Linked DNA regions of Macaca mulatta. The protein of the gene in region 4 interacts with the protein of the main gene of each other region in a pairwise test. Links are inferred from orthologs where the notes say so. Each region holds a gene or a part of one and is shown on either strand. Other genes may lie near its edges. The genes, in order: HTT, RACK1, NDN and MKRN2.

Region 1 (3,949 bases), on a different chromosome or scaffold from region 4:
GAGCAGTATCCTTTTTAGTGCTGAAAAGCAACCATCATGTTCCTGTCTCATCAGTGCACACATGCCAGCTGTGTGTAACTGAGATGCACAGGAAGCAGCCAAGAAACGGCAGTGCACTTTCTCAGAGGTGCTCCTGGCTCTACCCGCCCGCAGACCCTCGCCCAGCAGTGGCATGGCGGCTGCGCTGAAGACAGTGCTCCACGGAGGGAGATCTGTGGTCAGCTCCAAGGTGCCTCCCTGCGGCGTCTGGAGGGCGGTAGAGCGGAAGGCATGCACCACGCTCTCTGGAGCACTCGCCACCTAGCACTGGGTCCACTAGACCACAAGCCCCTTGAAGGCCAGGACTGGTCGTGGCGCCTCCCTGTGTCCGTCTGCCAGCTGTGGTGGTGCTCAGTGAGCATGTGGGAACTGAAGAATGATGCAGAGGTGCGTTTTAAAATCGACATGGGGGCCAGGCACGGTGGCTCACGCCTGCAATCCCAGCACTTTGGGAGGCCGAGGAGGGTGGATCACTTGAGTTCAGAAGTTCGAGACCAGTTCGGCCAACACGGTGAAGCACTGTCTCTACTAAAAACACAAAAATTAGCTGGGCGTGGTGGCACGTGCCTGTAATCCCAGCTACTCGGGAGGCTGAGGCAGGAGAATCGCTTGAACCCGGGAGGTGGAGGTTGCAGTGAGCCGAGATCGCGCCATTGCACTCCAGCCTGGGTGACAAGGGCAAAACTCCATCTCAAAAAAAAAAAAAAACATGAAAACAGACAAGCACAGGCTCAGCTGTTCAGAACACCTCATCTGGCCAAAGAATAGAGCAAAGTCCACCTGAGTATGCTCTTGAGAAAAGCCAAATGGCTCCCCACTGGACACCCTGATTGGAGAGCACAGGCAAGGCAGTGCAACAACGCCCCAGATCCGCCATGTCGCCAGGACTGGGACACCCTGATTGGAGAGCACAGGCAAGGCAGTGCAACAACGCCCCAGATCCGCCATGTCGCCAGGACTGGGACACCCTGATTGGAGAGCACAGGCAAGGCAGCACAACAACGCCCCAGATCCGCCATGTCGCCAGGACTGAGGCCTGAGAGCAATCAGGGAGCCTTGTCCTTAAGAAAAAGCCCTACGAAGCTCCTAACCCACTTCCAGAGCAGGGGAGCGAAGCCAATTCTCAACACCAATTCACGCACAGCAGTGGGGCGGAGGGGTAGCGAGGAGAAGCCACTGACCACACGGGTCTCAAAAGATGCATGTGTGGGTTTCACCTTCCTCCTCCTGCTGCTGCCCCTCACCCTGCTCACAGGCACCATGGACCCCCTCCCACAGACCCCCGTGGGCTCCCCTCTCACGACAGGCAGCCAGGCTGAGCCAACTCCTCATCACTGCGCAGGCTTCTGCCGCACCCTCCCAGAGACTGGTCATTCCTGCCCCCTGCCATACCCCACACGGCCAGGTGCGGTGCCTGAGCCCTCAGGAGAGATGGGCAGGCGCTGGGACAACCTTGGAACTGGTCAACACTACACCTGAGCGCTGGGGTCCAAGGACCACCAGCTCGCCAGTGGAACCCTGAGCCAAGGCAGCCCACGGTCAGGCTGTGGTCAGGAATCACTGGCGGGACTCCAGCAACAGCGCCAGGGGATCAGCCAACACACACAAACGCTCAGCTTCAGGCCAAAATTCTAGGGAAGCTAACGGCTGAGGGATGGGGCTTCGTTTCTTACCTATCAAAAAGAACAGACACCCGCTCCATAGCAACAATCACCGACTCGCTGTCTGGGGCTGCAGGATTAGGGTCTGAAGTTCTACCCGGACTGACTTTCTCCTTTCCTGTAATAAAAGTGTTCAGTACGAAGGTTACATCTATACAACCCAACAGGCTCTGTAGATAGTGCTTTGTACACAGGAGTCCAATGAATCACTGGAGAAGACCTGACAGCAGGTGATGTGAGCCCCTCGCTAGCCCAGGACCCAGCACAGCTCAGCCACATGGGATGAGTGACCAGAGGGGTGGTCAACCCTGACCAGGTACTCCAGCCCTGGGGGCTCCAGAGCCTCTCTTGCAAGGTGATGGGGCCAGCTTGGGGCAACACTAAAAGTGTCAAATCAGAGGACACCTAGTCTAGGTTCCTTGAGCGAGCATGCTCCTGTCTCCCTTGAACAGGACTTGGGCTGGCCTTGCGGGCACTGTGTACATGCTCACCTGTGTACATGCAGGTGAGCATCAAGCCCAGAGCCGCCATGGCCCGGTGCGGGCTGTGCACGTTCACTCTGTCCACACTCAGCTTGACCAGGGATTCTGCATCCAGGCGGGAGAGCTGCTCAGAGAGCAGGAGGCGCTCCAGGCCTCTGAGGGCACAGTGGTAAATGATAGAGGGGGTGGACTCCTCACTTCCGGACAGCATCACCCCACACATCTGCACAGGGAGAAAGGTTTCTGTCGCTGCATGGTCTCAGGTGTTCATGCCTCCTCCCCACCAAGTCAAAACTGGCCCACTGGTATGATCCCGCAAGGAAAAGAGAAGGGAAGCCCACTCCCCGTGTGCAGAGGAAGACAGTCAGGGCCCACTCACCTGTATTATTGATGCTGAAAATTCTGGCCCTACGTCCAGAGGATAGTTCTCAATCAGGTAAAACGCAGTGGCACACATGACCAGTACGTGCTGCTGGCTGTGAATGTTCACGCAGCTGAAAACGGGAGACAGCAGCCAGGCTCAGCCGCCCCCATCCAACGTAGAGAGGGCTTCGCAGCATGCCCAGCCACACGCGGGAGTGAAGAGCTGCGGGCCAGGCTGGCTCCCGGGAGCACCTACCCTGTGTGGCTCCCCAGGCCCCTGTAACCTGGCCTGACCCTTCAGCCTCTGCTCGACCCCTCCCTGGATAGCTGAGCCCGTCTACCTCCTCCACGCCCTGCCCTCTCGGCCTGGCCCAGCCTCCCCTGTGGCCACCTCCATACTGGCCACCACAGACTTCCTCTCTCTGTCCCTCAAAGAGGCCCTGGATTCCCACACCCCAGGCCAGTCCCCTCTACTTCCTGAGTGCCCTGTGCTTTTCCTTCGTGGCACATTCCACCATGACGTGCTGCCTTGTGTGATCCCCCGACAGCACCTGCCTTCCCCATGGCACAATGGGGACCCGGTAGCCAGGGACTGAATGAGTGGCCACTGTGAACAGAGGAGCCAATAAGATGCCCCCCTCCACCCACAGAAATGTGCCCAGTGATGCTTATATCCATCACCACGTGATCCCACCTCTACCTCGGAGGCATGTGACACAGCCCGTGCCCATGGCACTGAGGCCAGCCCCACACACCATTTCTACCTGGATGCCACAAGCTCTCTGCATCCCAAACGCAACTCCTGGGCCACCTCAACTCTCCTTTCCTGAGTCCTCCATGCCCACAGCAAGAGCCATAGACGGCCCAACACGCCAGCACAGCCAGGGCTTTGGCCTGTGCCTGGGGCCTGTTGTGGGGCTGCCCCCCAAAATCACCTCGCTGCACCAACGCATGTGCCTGATTTGCAGGCCTGTGTCCCCCGTGTGACTTGCCCTATGCCAGGCTCCAGGGATGCAGAGACAGTTGCCAGCTGTCCGCCTGTCCTGCGTCCTGCTAGCACAGCACCCACCGCCCAGCAAGGATGACAGACGAGAAGGGCCTCCCCACAAGCTTGTGCCACTCTGGCCTGGATGAGGGCAATGGCCCCTGTTGAGCCACTGTCCCTGCTCCAGGATGTCCCAAATCCTGCCAGACAGCCACCAGCCAGTGCCCTGGCTCACACCTCCCTCCTGTCTGAACTGTGCCTACAGAGATCTTCCCATCTCCCTCCAAGTCTTCCACTCAACTTTGACCCGGCCCCCATCTCCTGCCCACTTGTCAAAGGGGATCACTGGCCATTCTTCCCAGCCCCTTTCCCATCTTTGCTCCAAATTCTTGCCCTCAACTCCCCCATGTGGGTGGCTG
Region 2 (4,438 bases), on a different chromosome or scaffold from region 4:
GATGTCACAAATAGAAATGTGACATCTTTATTTTGCATAGATGTTGGTGGCTGCTATCATCCTGATATGTCCTCCTGTTTAAAACTACTTGAAGAGACACGGTGCCCAATACTCTTATAGTCAGATGTGAGAGAATGAGAGTCATTACTTGTTTAAATTCCTGAGGTAGAGTGGAAGGCAGAAGGACAGCTAGGTATCCGTGTTCCACCGCTTCCCTGTCTGGGCACGTCCTTCAGGGTGCAACTGGACCCCCAGACGCCTGGGCTTTTGTGTGCAGTGACTGGGCCCAGAGAGAGCTTTCCAGTGGATGTCCCCAGAAGTCAGAACTTTAAGGTCCTCCTTTGGGCGTTTCCGTTTCTGCGAGAGCTTCCCGTGTTCTGACCTAGGCAGGAATGGATTGGCAGTCTAGCAACACACAGGGCAATTTTCACCTTATTATTTTATTGTATGTATGTATGTATTTATTTGAGTCGGAGTCTCGCTCTACTGCCCAGGCTGGAGTGCAGTGGCGGGATCTCGATTCACTGCAACTTCTGCCTCCCAGGTTCAAGGGATTCTCCTGCCTCAGCCTCCCGAGTAGCTGGGATTACAGGCACCCGCCACCACACCTGGCTAATTTTACTTATTTATTTATTTATTTATTTATTTATTGGAAAGAGGTTGCATCATGTTGGCCAGGCTAGTCTCGAACTCCTGACCTCAAGTGATCCACCCCCTCGGCCTCCCAAAGTGGAATGATTACAGGCACGAGCCACTGCGCCCGGCAAAAAGAGACCAATTTTTAGTACATCCAGAGTAACCCTCTCCTGCCTTAGTCCAGCCTGGACTAAGTCCTTCCGGAGTTGGTGTGCATCAGAACAAAAACCTCTTGAGGGAGGACGGTCCCGCGGAAGCACAGTTTTAAAGTTTATTTTTAAAATTTTAATGCCATACTTTTTTAAATTGCCCATCGTTACCCACGATAGTGAACTGAAAATTAAGCTCTCCTGTGGTTGCCCCGTCAACCCTCCCCGCACCAAGTGGAACAGGCGGAGCTCGAGCTACGCCACATAGGGGCGGGGAAGCCGCCAGGGAGTCCTCATGGGAATGTGCCGTACACTTCACCTCTTTCGCTTCTCGCTCTACATCATCCCTGAGAAGCCTTTTTAAACACTTGAATGTGCTTGTTTCAGAATGTATTTATAAAGCGCTGTCAGATTATGTTGTACGGAAGTGGGGACTGTGATGCCGTGCAATTTCCCTTTGCCTTTTGCATTACATGGCGCCGCCATCTTGAGCAGAAGTGTATCATGGGGCTCGCCATTTTACTTGGTCGAGTGGGTATTTCCGGTTCCGGCAGAGGGCTTCTCTCTTTCACTGCAAGGCGGCGGCGGTAGCGGCTGTGTTGCTCGTTTCTCTGAGCCATCCAGTGCCATCCTCGTCGCTGCAGCGACACACGCGCTCGCCGCCGCCATGACTGAGCAGATGACCCTTCGTGGCACCCTCAAGGGCCACAACGGCTGGGTAACCCAGATCGCTACTACCCCGCAGTTCCCGGACATGATCCTGTCCGCCTCTCGAGGTACGGACTAAGGTAGATTTCAGGACCCGAGATTGCAGGGCTGGGGGATTCCGCGTGGTTCGGGCAGGCCGGTGGCGCGCGCGCTGCCGGGGACTGACAAACTTCTCTGCCTCACTGTGATTTGGGGCGTGCGGACGCGAGCCTAGGCCTCAGCCCGGGCGAACCACATTGCAGATGAGGACCTAGACGTAGAGCGGCTCGTGGCTGTTAGGGTTGGAGAGTTGGAAACTTTTAAAACATCTTCTGCCTTCCCCTTCGTAGTGTGGTCGGGGGCCTACGGGCCGGGCGGGGCGGTGATGACCCCAACATGCCATCTGAGTGTCGGTGCTGAAATCCAGAGGCTGTTTCTGAGCTGCCGCCCGGCCCAAGGCTCGTGGGGAGGCGGGTGGACTCCAGAGGACCTCGTGGCTCAAGTCTCGTCCTACTTTTTCTGCCCCTGGGTCTCCCCTCCCCGTCCCTATCCCTGTGTGCCTGACTGCGTTTGGACACTTGTTGTGCTTCCCCTTTGCTCCTACACTGTTAAGAATTGTGTGACTCTTGAATCATGTCTGGCTGTTAATCGTAAAATTGTTGAGTGGGACAGGTTTCAGTAAAAGCATCCGATCCTGTAGCGCCTAAAGTGGCTTTTCCAGCATTCATTATAACATTTCTGTCGGCCCTCATGGGAGGCATGGGAGGCCCCAGCTACTCTACAGCCACGAACTGCTGTGCATTCGGTTGCAGAGAAGATACGTGGTGGCTGTTGAGTTCGTCTGAGTTTCAGGAAAGGGTGTCTGTAATTTCTGGCACCTAAATTAAGTTCTCAGGATACAGACCGGGCACGGTGGCTCACGGCTATAATCCCAGCACTTTGGGAGGCAGAGGCGGGCGGATCACCTTAGGTCAGGAGTTCGAAACTAGCCTGGCCAATGGTGAAACCCCATCTCTAGTTTAAAAAAAAAAAAAAAGCCAGGCGTGCTGGGGGTGGCCTGTAATTCCAGCTACTAGGGAGGCTGAGGCAGGAGAATTGCTTGAACACGGGAGGTGGAGGTTGCAGTGAGCCGAGATCATGCCATTGCACTCCAGCCTGGGTGACAGAGTGAGACTCCATCTCAAAAAAAAAAAAAAAAAAGAGTTATCACGGTACAGTTTAGCTCTGCGTGCGTTTTTAGTCTGGAATAGAGCCACTCAGTCCTGGCCTGTAACTGCTCTTGTAGTCTGTTGTTCCATCCCTCCTTAAGCATCCTTAGTTGTTAACCCACTCATGACCTTGACACTTAGTGAATTATCCAGTGTGTTAACAAACTGGCTGCGGGTTCCTCACTGGTTTTTCTTCTGTTTGGCCGCTTTTAGATAAGACCATCATCATGTGGAAACTGACCAGGGATGAGACCAACTATGGAATTCCACAGCGTGCTCTGCGGGGTCACTCCCACTTTGTTAGTGATGTGGTTATCTCCTCAGATGGCCAGTTTGCCCTCTCAGGCTCCTGGGATGGAACCCTGCGCCTCTGGGATCTCACAACGCAAGTAGCTGCTCACTTAGCTCTGGGGCCTTGGGAAAAAATCTGGGCAGAAATGTGGTGGATGCAATTGGCTGGTTTCCCAGGGGAGATCCAGTCCATTTGGGAACTGGAAAGCAGACTGCACCTACAGAAGATGTTTGGCCTCCCTCGCTTTGAATTAGTTACTCAGGATTGCTGAGGAGTGTGGTTGAACATATCTACCAGGTGCGACAGTTTTGAGTAGGCAGCAGTTTGAACATGTTTTACCTTGAAAGCTGAGGTGATTGGCAGGTGGAATTAGAGGGTCCTGGTGATGACAGATGACATTGTCAGCCAATCCCCATGTGGGAGTGAGGACATGTCCTGCAATTCTGAAGGGATTCTTTGTCATATATGTGTGAGTAATGCAATGAGACAGAGACAAGGCCCAGGAATCAGTCTGACCCTTGAATGAGAATGTTTGTTAAGTCTGAGAATGACAAAGTCCTCCCTCTTAGGGGCACCACCACGAGGCGATTTGTGGGCCATACCAAGGATGTGCTGAGTGTGGCCTTCTCCTCTGACAACCGGCAGATTGTCTCTGGATCTCGAGATAAAACCATCAAGCTATGGAATACCCTGGGTGTGTGCAAATACACTGTCCAGGTAAAGTGAGGCCATGGTCAGAGAGCACATCTCCAAGGATCTCTCCCACTCTCTTAACCTTTACTTTTTTTTTTTTTTTTTATTTTGAGACAGTCTCACTCTGTCGCCCAGGCTGAAGTGCAGTGGCGCTGTGTCAGCTTACTGCAACCTCTGCCTCCCAGGCTCAGGTGATTCTGGTGCCTCAGTCTCCACAGTAGCTGGTGCTACAGGTGCGCACCACCAGGGTGGTCTCGAACTGAGCTTAGGCAGTCTGCCCGCCTCAGCCTCCCAAAGTGCTGGGATTACAGGCGTGAGCCACCATGGCCTGCATATCTTTACCCTTTTTTTTTTTTTTTTTTTAAAGACAGTTTTGCTCATTGCCCAGGCTGGGGTGCAATGGCGTGACCGCAGCTGACCACAACCTCCGCCTCCCGAGTTCAAGCAATTCTACCTCAGCTTCCCAAGTAGCTGGGATTACAGGCATGTGCCACCACGCCTGGTTTTGTATTTTTAGTAGAGATGGGGTTTCTCCATGTTGGTCAGGCTGGTCTTGAACTCCCAACGTCAGGTGATCTGCCCGCCTCAGCCTCCCAAAGTGCTGGGATTACGGGCGTGAGCCACCGTGCCCGGCTCTCTGCCTTTTTAAAGTCTTGGCTGGGCTCATGCTCTGGTAGGCCAAGGTGGGAGGATTGCTTGAGGACAGGAGAGCAGCCTGGCCAACACAGTGAGACCCCATCCATAAAAATTTTTATTTATTTTGAGATGGAGTC
Region 3 (4,024 bases), on a different chromosome or scaffold from region 4:
GAATTAGCATATTTCTGTAAGATGCTCCCAAGAAAGTGGTAAATATCCATAAATAGAGGAAGGAGAAGGAGAAGTAGACGGAGAGAAGAAGGACGAGGTGGAGGAGGAAGAGGAGAAGGAGAAAAGTGTTGAAATAATTCCAACTAAGACTGATATCTAGGAATTACCCTGGTGAAGTGGGAAGCTAAAGAGCCTGTTGGAAGGACTGGTGTGGGAATGGCTCTGCCAAAAGTGTTATGTGCATGCAAACCCAAAGAGAGAGAGCACAGAAAACCCTTCAACATCAACCTGCTTGAGGAAAAATAAAGTGACAAGTGGGAAAAGATACATACTCACAGCGAGGACTCTAGACATGTTAAGACAATTTTTAAATGTGCTTTTGGCTTCGAGTGGCAATAATTAGACTCAACATATTTAAGAAGCTACTGATGAGAAGAAACGCTGGAAGCGCTGAAGGACCACATCAGCCCAGACCAAGGATGCTGAAGCAGCATCAAGGCCCTTGGTTTCAGAGGCTCCACCAATGACCCTTTTTTCAGGGAGACCCTGTAGGAGCGAGTTTTGTCTTTGCCCAGTGGGAATCTGTCTTCTATACTTAGAAAACAGGGTTACCCATGTTGCCCCTGCTACCCTTGGGTCATCTCAGAGACACTACCAGATATTACCTATGAGACCTAGTTGTTTTTTTTTAAATCTCAGGAAGGACTTGGGTGTGGCTTCCAACGTGGAGGACTCAGTAGCTTCAGAGAGGGTCCTGGGAGAAGGTGAATCGGAGAATAAGGGTGCTGGGCAGAGGGAAAAAGACATTATTATACAAGTTTGTGCTAAAAGATATAGCAATCCTTCTGCTGTGGACTAAGTATGGAAAAAAATAAAATGGAATCAAAGTGACCCAAAGGAAATGTAAAACTCAAATTTATGCCCACTAAAGCATTAATGATGCTCTAAGTCCGCTGCCTACTTAAAAGGTTCATAGTTCACATGGGTTGACAGGAAATTACGTTAAGGACACGCTGCATTTCTCCTTTTCTTACAACCCCTCTGATTTGGTAGGGAGGGAGTCAATCATTTTTTTATTGGAATTTCTCAGGATTCCAACTTCAGACATACACTTTACACATTTTCTTGGACAAGCCCGACTGTTCCTCTCACTCGTTCGCATAAAGCTCAAGTTTACACAGCCGCCCAGACCTTTCTCTGGGACGCTCATATTTAACTTAATTCTGGATATATCAGGTAAGCGTTTCCCAAGAAACTTGACCCCAACATCCCAAAAACTTAAGTTATCATCTTTCTCCTAAACTGGCCCCTTCTCCAGTACGCATCCATCGCACTCTTCTCCTGCCCTAGATCCCCTCAGCCCAAACGGGAAACCCCGGGATCGCTCTCTCCGCAGGTGAAGCTTAGCCAGGGACCCTCCCCGTCGGGGCTCCGCGCTGCCCCGCCCGCCCCCAGCCGCTGGCCAAGGCCGCAGTCGCGCAGGCGCAGTGCCGCGTCCCGCCGCCGCCCCGCCCTGCCCGCCGCTGCGGAAGGCGCCGCGCACAGCAACGCGCACTTCCTCTCCAGGAATCCGCGGAGGGAGCGCAGGCTTGAAGAGCTCCTGGACGCAGAGGCCCTGCCCTTGCCAGACGGCGCAGATATGTCAGAACAAAGTAAGGATCTAAGCGACCCTAACTTTGCAGCCGAGGCCCCCAGCTCCGAGGTGCACAGCAGCCCTGGGGTTCCGGAGGGGGTTCCTCCGTCCGAGACCCTGGCAGAGCCGCAGAGCCCTCCTTTAGGCCCGACGGCCGCCCCGCAGGCCGCGCAGCCTCCCCAGGCCCCGAGCGACGAGGACGACCCGAAGGCCCTGCAGCAGGCCGCGGAGGAGGGCCGCGCCCACCAGGCCCCGAGCGCGGCCCAGCCCGGCCCGGCCCCGCCAGCCCCGGCGCAGCTGGTGCAGAAGGCGCACGAGCTCATGTGGTACGTGCTGGTCAAGGACCAGAAGAAGATGATCATCTGGTTTCCAGACATGGTGAAAGATGTCATCGGCAGCTACAAGAAGTGGTGCAGGAGCATCCTCCGGCGCACCAGCCTCATCCTCGCCCGGGTGTTCGGGCTGCACCTGAGGCTAACCAGCCTGCACACCATGGAGTTTGCGCTGGTCAAAGCGCTGGAGCCCGAGGAGCTGGACAGGGTGGCGCTGAGCAACCGCATGCCCATGACAGGTCTCCTCCTCATGATCCTGAGCCTCATCTACGTGAAGGGCCGCGGCGCCAGAGAGAGCGCGGTCTGGAACGTGCTCCGCATCCTGGGGCTGCGGCCCTGGAAGAAGCACTCCACCTTCGGGGACGTGCGGAAGCTCATCACTGAGGAGTTCGTCCAGCAGAATTACCTGAAGTACCAGCGCGTCCCGTACGTGGAGCCGCCCGAGTACGAGTTCTTCTGGGGCTCCCGGGCCAGCCGCGAAATCACCAAGCTGCAAATCATGGAGTTCCTGGCCAGGGTCTTTAAGAAAGACCCCCAGGCCTGGCCCTCCCGATACAGAGAGGCTCTGGAGGAGGCCAGAGCTCTGCGGGAGGCTAATCCCGCTGCCCACTGCCCTCGCAGCAGTGTCTCCGAGGACTAGCCAAGTCTGGAGGCAGATGAATGCTTTCTGATCCTCACCAGGGCTGTGGAAGGGTGGGGGTGGGTCATTAGAGTGTTCAGGATTTACAGTGCAGTATTCACGTGTAACTTTTACGTTTTCAGTACAGTGCTTTTATACCTTTAATGCAATGTTGTGTTCATTTGGGTACTATTGTGTAGTATTTAGGATGTATGCATGTTTGTTTATATGTAAGCTTGGTTGGTGCTTTCGCTTTTGTGGTACCTTTCTTGGATTTTTGTATCAGAGACGTGCTAAACTGATGAAGTACATTGAGAACGTTTCCATCTTATTAATTTACATGGGACTGAGATGTGTGTTGGGGTAGACTGCTCCTGCAGAGTTTGGAAAAACTCACCAGCAAAGCCGGCCTAACCAAGAAATGTCAAGGCCCTCATGACCTTGCTGGGGACTGAAAACATCCTCGTGGAGTAAACTAATTTGAACTGGACTGGTCTCAATGTGAGAGCACTTGGCACACTTTACTAAACACATATACAACCCCACCGTGAGTCAACTTTAAAGTAAACATTAAAGATTCTTGTGATACAATCATTTCTGGAAGTGTACGTTATCATTTTAACAAAGCAGTATGGTTGGGAATGAGACAATTCTCTGTTTTACAGTATACACAGATATAACTATTTCCCCTAATGGGGTGGGAAAAATCGCTACTCATGATTACTCCTAAATTTGTGAAGTTTGTAGTTTTGTCTTTAACTCATGTTTATTTCAAAAACATGCACAAATATAGAAAAGCATAAAAAACAAAACAGTAAGATTGTCCATAATCACATCCTATGGGAATAAAAACCAAAAATAATTTCCTTCCCTTAAGTTTCTACATTTTATCAAAATTAATAGATGCTTTGTGGGCACTTAAAGAGTGAGACATTGTACATGAGCCCTGACGTGTATTTTTCTCCTTTTATCTAATCCTCACAACAGGCCTGTCAGGCAGGCAAGAACTGCCTCTGCACCATGGAGGAAACACAGGAATAATGTAGGTAATGGACTTTCCATAGCTCATACAGGTTAATAAGAGAAGGCGCTAGGACTAGAACTCACAATGAATCCAGAGTCCACATTTGTCCCCACCTGCCTTCAACTCCCCTACACCCTGTGGTTTTTAGGTTATTTATTTTTAACTTTATATTGAAATTTCATGTGGGAGCCCACACTCACATGGGTTCATGGGCCACACATACAAAAAGGCTAGGAATTTTATTTTTCTAATTCTTAGGATATTTTGGAGAAAGCAATATCATTCTGATTCTGCAAATTAAGAAACTTACTTTTGGAGAGATTAATTAACCTAATAAAGTGATATTCCTGTTGAGCAGTGAAGCTGGGATTGGAAACAATCTTTCCTGAGGGTTGGAGGTGAAGGTGCTTTCTCTG
Region 4 (3,949 bases):
CTTCAGGTATTTTATGCATGGTGTGTGTCGGGAAGGAAGTCAGTGCCTGTTCTCACATGACTTGGCAAACAGCAAGCCGTCCACCATCTGCAAGTACTACCAGAAGGGCTACTGTGCCTATGGAACTCGGTGCAGGCAAGGACTCTGTGACAGGCTCCAGCTGTGACACTGATTTCGTTTGGAGAATGGGTCTTGATAAGGGGGAAGTTTTAATGTAAAAGTAATATGACAACATTACAGAAAGTATGGCAAATAAATTTAAAACCTCAGTTTCAGTACCCTAAAACTAATTTTCTTTTTTTTTTTTTTTTTTTGAGATGGAGTCTTGCACTGTTGCCCAGGCTGGAGGGCAGTGGCGCAGTCTTGGCTCTCTGCAACCTCCGCCTCCAGGGTTCAAGCAGTTCTCCTGCCTCAGCCTCCCGAGTAGCTGATATCACAGGCACCTGCCACTACACCTGGCTGATTTTTTTTTTGTATTTTTAGTAGAGACGGGGTTTCACCATGTTGGTCAGGCTGGTCTTAACTCCAGACCTCATGATCTGCCTGCCTTGGCTTCCCAAAGTGCTGGGATTACAGGTGTGAGCCACCGTGCCCGGTCTAATTTTCATTTTTTAAAACTACTTTTCAGCCTTATTCTTATGAATATATAGTTATAAAATTGTACACAATTCCAGAAACTTGTTTGTGCTTTTGTAGTGCAGAGCTGATCTTTTCTTTCCTAGGCTGCAAAGCTTCCTTTCCTCCATTTTCTATGCAGTGCAGTGGGAGATGATGGAAGTAGGCCCACCTTGGTCTCCCCCTGCCAATGAGTGCCGAGAGAGACAGTCAGGGAGAGGTCATTGGCCCTTGTCAGCATTTTGGGGACTCCTGCTCAAAAGAATACTGGGTCAGTCAGGCATCAGGAGATTTCAGCTCAACATCTGTTTGGAACTTTCAGGCTCTCTGTGTGGTCTGGAGCTGTGTGTCTGTCCCACTCAAGTCCCACAGAGACACTTAAGCATAGGTGATAGATAGCAAATGTCCCCCTCACACTGAATTGCCAAGCATCTGTTAATCAATAATCCTGTTAGAGTTTAAATATTGGAAAAGATGGCTGCTTTCTTCACCTCAACAAGTGCAGCAGCAGGAGGGCCATTGGCATCTGGGGAGTGTGGGGATGTGTGTGGATGGCATGTCTGTAATGCATCTGCTATGTGTTTTGTTTAGATATGACCACACGAGGCCCTCTGCTGCAGCTGGAGGTGCTGTCGGCACCATGGCCCACAGTGTGCCCTCCCCAGCTTTCCACAATCCTCACCCTTCTTCTGAGGTCACTGCGTCCATTGTGAAAACTAACTCACATGAACCCGGGAAGCGTGAAAAGAGAACGTTGGTTCTTAGAGACCGAAGTGAGTAAGCGGAAGCCTTTTGTTGCTTCTTTTTGCATAGCACTCTTGCTTATGCTTGGTGCTCCTTTCTAGCCTCCTCTTGTCAAGAGGACTCCTAACCTAATACACCTCCAGGTTGTCCGCGTGGAGAGACTTCAGAACTTTCTGAAGAGGCTCCATGTGGCTGTAGATCATTCAAATGATACGTTTGCCCTCGTGCCCAAAGGCTGGGTTGAGCTCCAAGACTGACCTGGCAAAACATAAAAACGCAATCTTTTTGTCAGCATGTAACTTCCATCTTCATATGGTGGTTGTCCAGTTGGTGAGAAGCATCAAGCTCTTCATTTCAAACCTAAATATTTTGTCTGGGTACAGTGGCTCACACCTGTAACCCGAACACTTTGGGAGACTGAGGTGGGCAGATCACCTGAGGTCAGGAGTTCGAGACCAGCCTGGCCAACATGGTTTAGTAGAAACCCCGTCTCTACTAAAAATGCAAAAATTAGCCGGGCGTAGTGGCAGACGTCTGTAATCCCAGCTACTTGGGAGACTGAGGCAGGAGAATTTCTTGAACCCGGGAGGCAGAGGTTGTAGTGAGCTGAGATCATGCCACTGCACTCCAACCTGGGTGACAAGAGTGAGACTCCCTCTCAAAAAAAAAAAACAAAACTAAATATTTTGCTAAAGAGCATGTTTCACTGTTTGACTTTTAGGCCAGTGAATGGTCTTAGTTTTTATGCTGACAGTGTGTGACATTTTAGATTGCACCTTTGGGAACAGAATAGCACACTAGGGTTTGGGACATGGTCTGTGCCTTAAAACGGGGTTTGATGAGGAAGAAAGCTACAAATTGTAAAAGTTTTTTTGTTTTTTTGTGTGTTTTGTTTTTTTGAGACGGAGTCTCACTCTGTCACCTAGGCTGCAGTGCAGTGGCATGATCTCCGCCTCCCAGGTTCAAGGGATTCTTCTGCCTCAGCCTTCCGAGTAGCTGGGATTACAGGTGCCCACCACCATGCCCAGCTAATTTTTGTATTTTTAGTAGAGACAGGGTTTCGCTATGTTAGTCAGGCTGGTCTCGAACTCCTGATCTCATAATCCACCCGCCTCAGCCTCCCAAAGTGCTGGGATTACAGGCAAGAGCCACTGCACCCGGCCGTAAAAGTTGTTTTTATTGGCTGGTCCGCACCAGGTGAAGAGATTTCTAGTTCTTGGAATTGGGTACCGTGAGGTAGGCAGATTCCATCCTCAGCAAATGAGTAGTCCTGTGAGAATACATGACCTGTAAACAAGCTCGGAGGTGTGCAGTGGGAAGGCAGCAGCTCCTGGCGTGAGAAGGGTTCACCATGGGACAGTTTACTCTGGCCTCAGGACCCACAGATTTGCTGTAGACATCTATTCTAGTTCACTTAAAATGATTGGTAACTTTGCTGGTATGAAGGAAACACTGTGTTCTAGTGATCTCACTTTTTTGTTTGTTTTAGTGTTAACTGGTCCATGTGTTAACATTTCCATATTTGCCATTTTAAACAGCAGCTTTAGTGTTCTTTTGTGTAAGTGTATCCTATTGTTTTGCTTATTTCCCTGTCTGGCCATTTTTGTTTTTTGTTTTTTTAAGTAATGTCACTATGAACATTTTATACTATTCCTTTTATTTTTCCCCTTCGGTCTGTTTTTTTGCCATATGTTCTCAAGGGTGGAATTCTTAGGTCAGAGTAGCTTAATATGTTAGGCTTTGGTTAATGGCATATCAGAAAAATGGGGCCATTTTCATGTGTGTGTGCCGTGTGTTGTATTCAGATCTGTCTGGCATGGCTGAAGGAAAGACTCAGCCGAGCATGGTGAGTAATCCAGGCAGCTGCAGCGACCCCCAACCCAGCCCCGAGATGAAGCCGCATTCCTACCTGGAGGCCATCAGGAGTGGCCTTGATGACGTGGAGGCCAGCAGCTCCTACAGCAACGAGCAGCAGCTGTGCCCCTACGCAGCTGCTGGGGAGTGCCGGTTTGGGGATGCCTGTGTCTACCTGCATGGGGAGGTGTGTGAAATCTGTAGGCTGCGAGTCTTGCACCCCTTCGACCCAGAGCAGAGGAAGGCTCACGAAAAGGTAAAGTCACAAACCTTTGCATGAACTCAATGTTAAGAAATCTGAAACGTACTGAACAGGACACTGAAGGCCATCCATACACACTCAAAAAAAGAAATCCGAAACATACTGACAGAATTGTTGGTGTTTCCACAGGCATCCCCCTGCCAGTAATATACCTATGTTATGCATCTGGTATATTTACATCCTATTTTGAGATTCTTTTTCCTGCAGTCATTTTGCCTTTTTTTTTTTTTTGAAACAGAGTCTCCCTGTCACCCAGCCTGGAATACAGTGGTGCAATCTCGGCTCACTGCAACCTCTGCTTCCCCGGCTCAGGTGATCCTCCTGGCTCAGCCCCGCCGAGTGGCTGGGATTACAGGCACTCACCACCACGCTCGGCTACTTTTGTATTTTTAGGAAAGAAGGGGTTTCACCATATTGGCCAAGCTGGTCTCGAACTCCTGACCTCAAGTGGTCCGCCTGCCTCAGCCTCCCAAA

The links.
Region 1: the proteins of MKRN2 (region 4) and HTT interact in binary tests that used the Homo sapiens proteins (3 or more experiments, as listed by UniProt). The link is inferred for Macaca mulatta from reciprocal best matches to the Homo sapiens genes MKRN2 and HTT.
Region 2: the proteins of MKRN2 (region 4) and RACK1 interact in binary tests that used the Homo sapiens proteins (3 or more experiments, as listed by UniProt). The two-hybrid records come from large-scale screens. The link is inferred for Macaca mulatta from reciprocal best matches to the Homo sapiens genes MKRN2 and RACK1.
Region 3: the proteins of MKRN2 (region 4) and NDN interact in a two-hybrid assay, tested with the Homo sapiens proteins (2 studies listed by BioGRID and IntAct). The link is inferred for Macaca mulatta from reciprocal best matches to the Homo sapiens genes MKRN2 and NDN.

Annotation. Positions count from the first base shown.
Region 1 is NC_133410.1:3,412,445-3,416,393, reverse strand, and holds part of HTT (huntingtin), read right to left. Parts: intron 2,677-3,949; coding exon 2,562-2,676; intron 2,406-2,561; coding exon 2,192-2,405; intron 1,819-2,191; coding exon 1,713-1,818; intron 1-1,712.
Region 2 is NC_133411.1:190,284,538-190,288,975, reverse strand, and holds the start of RACK1 (small ribosomal subunit protein RACK1), read left to right. Parts: upstream 1-1,348; 5' UTR 1,349-1,452; coding exon 1,453-1,561; intron 1,562-1,848; exon of another isoform or gene 1,849-1,916; intron 1,917-2,893; coding exon 2,894-3,065; intron 3,066-3,347; exon of another isoform or gene 3,348-3,426; intron 3,427-3,541; coding exon 3,542-3,689; intron 3,690-4,438. UniProt on the Homo sapiens protein: Scaffolding protein involved in the recruitment, assembly and/or regulation of a variety of signaling molecules. Interacts with a wide variety of proteins and plays a role in many cellular processes.
Region 3 is NC_133412.1:6,264,276-6,268,299, forward strand, and holds NDN (necdin), read left to right. Parts: upstream 1-1,525; 5' UTR 1,526-1,639; coding exon 1,640-2,605; 3' UTR 2,606-3,446; downstream 3,447-4,024. UniProt on the Homo sapiens protein: Growth suppressor that facilitates the entry of the cell into cell cycle arrest.
Region 4 is NC_133407.1:151,390,487-151,394,435, forward strand, and holds part of MKRN2 (E3 ubiquitin-protein ligase makorin-2), read left to right. Parts: intron 1-6; coding exon 7-135; intron 136-1,206; coding exon 1,207-1,388; intron 1,389-3,164; coding exon 3,165-3,469; intron 3,470-3,949. UniProt on the Homo sapiens protein: E3 ubiquitin ligase catalyzing the covalent attachment of ubiquitin moieties onto substrate proteins.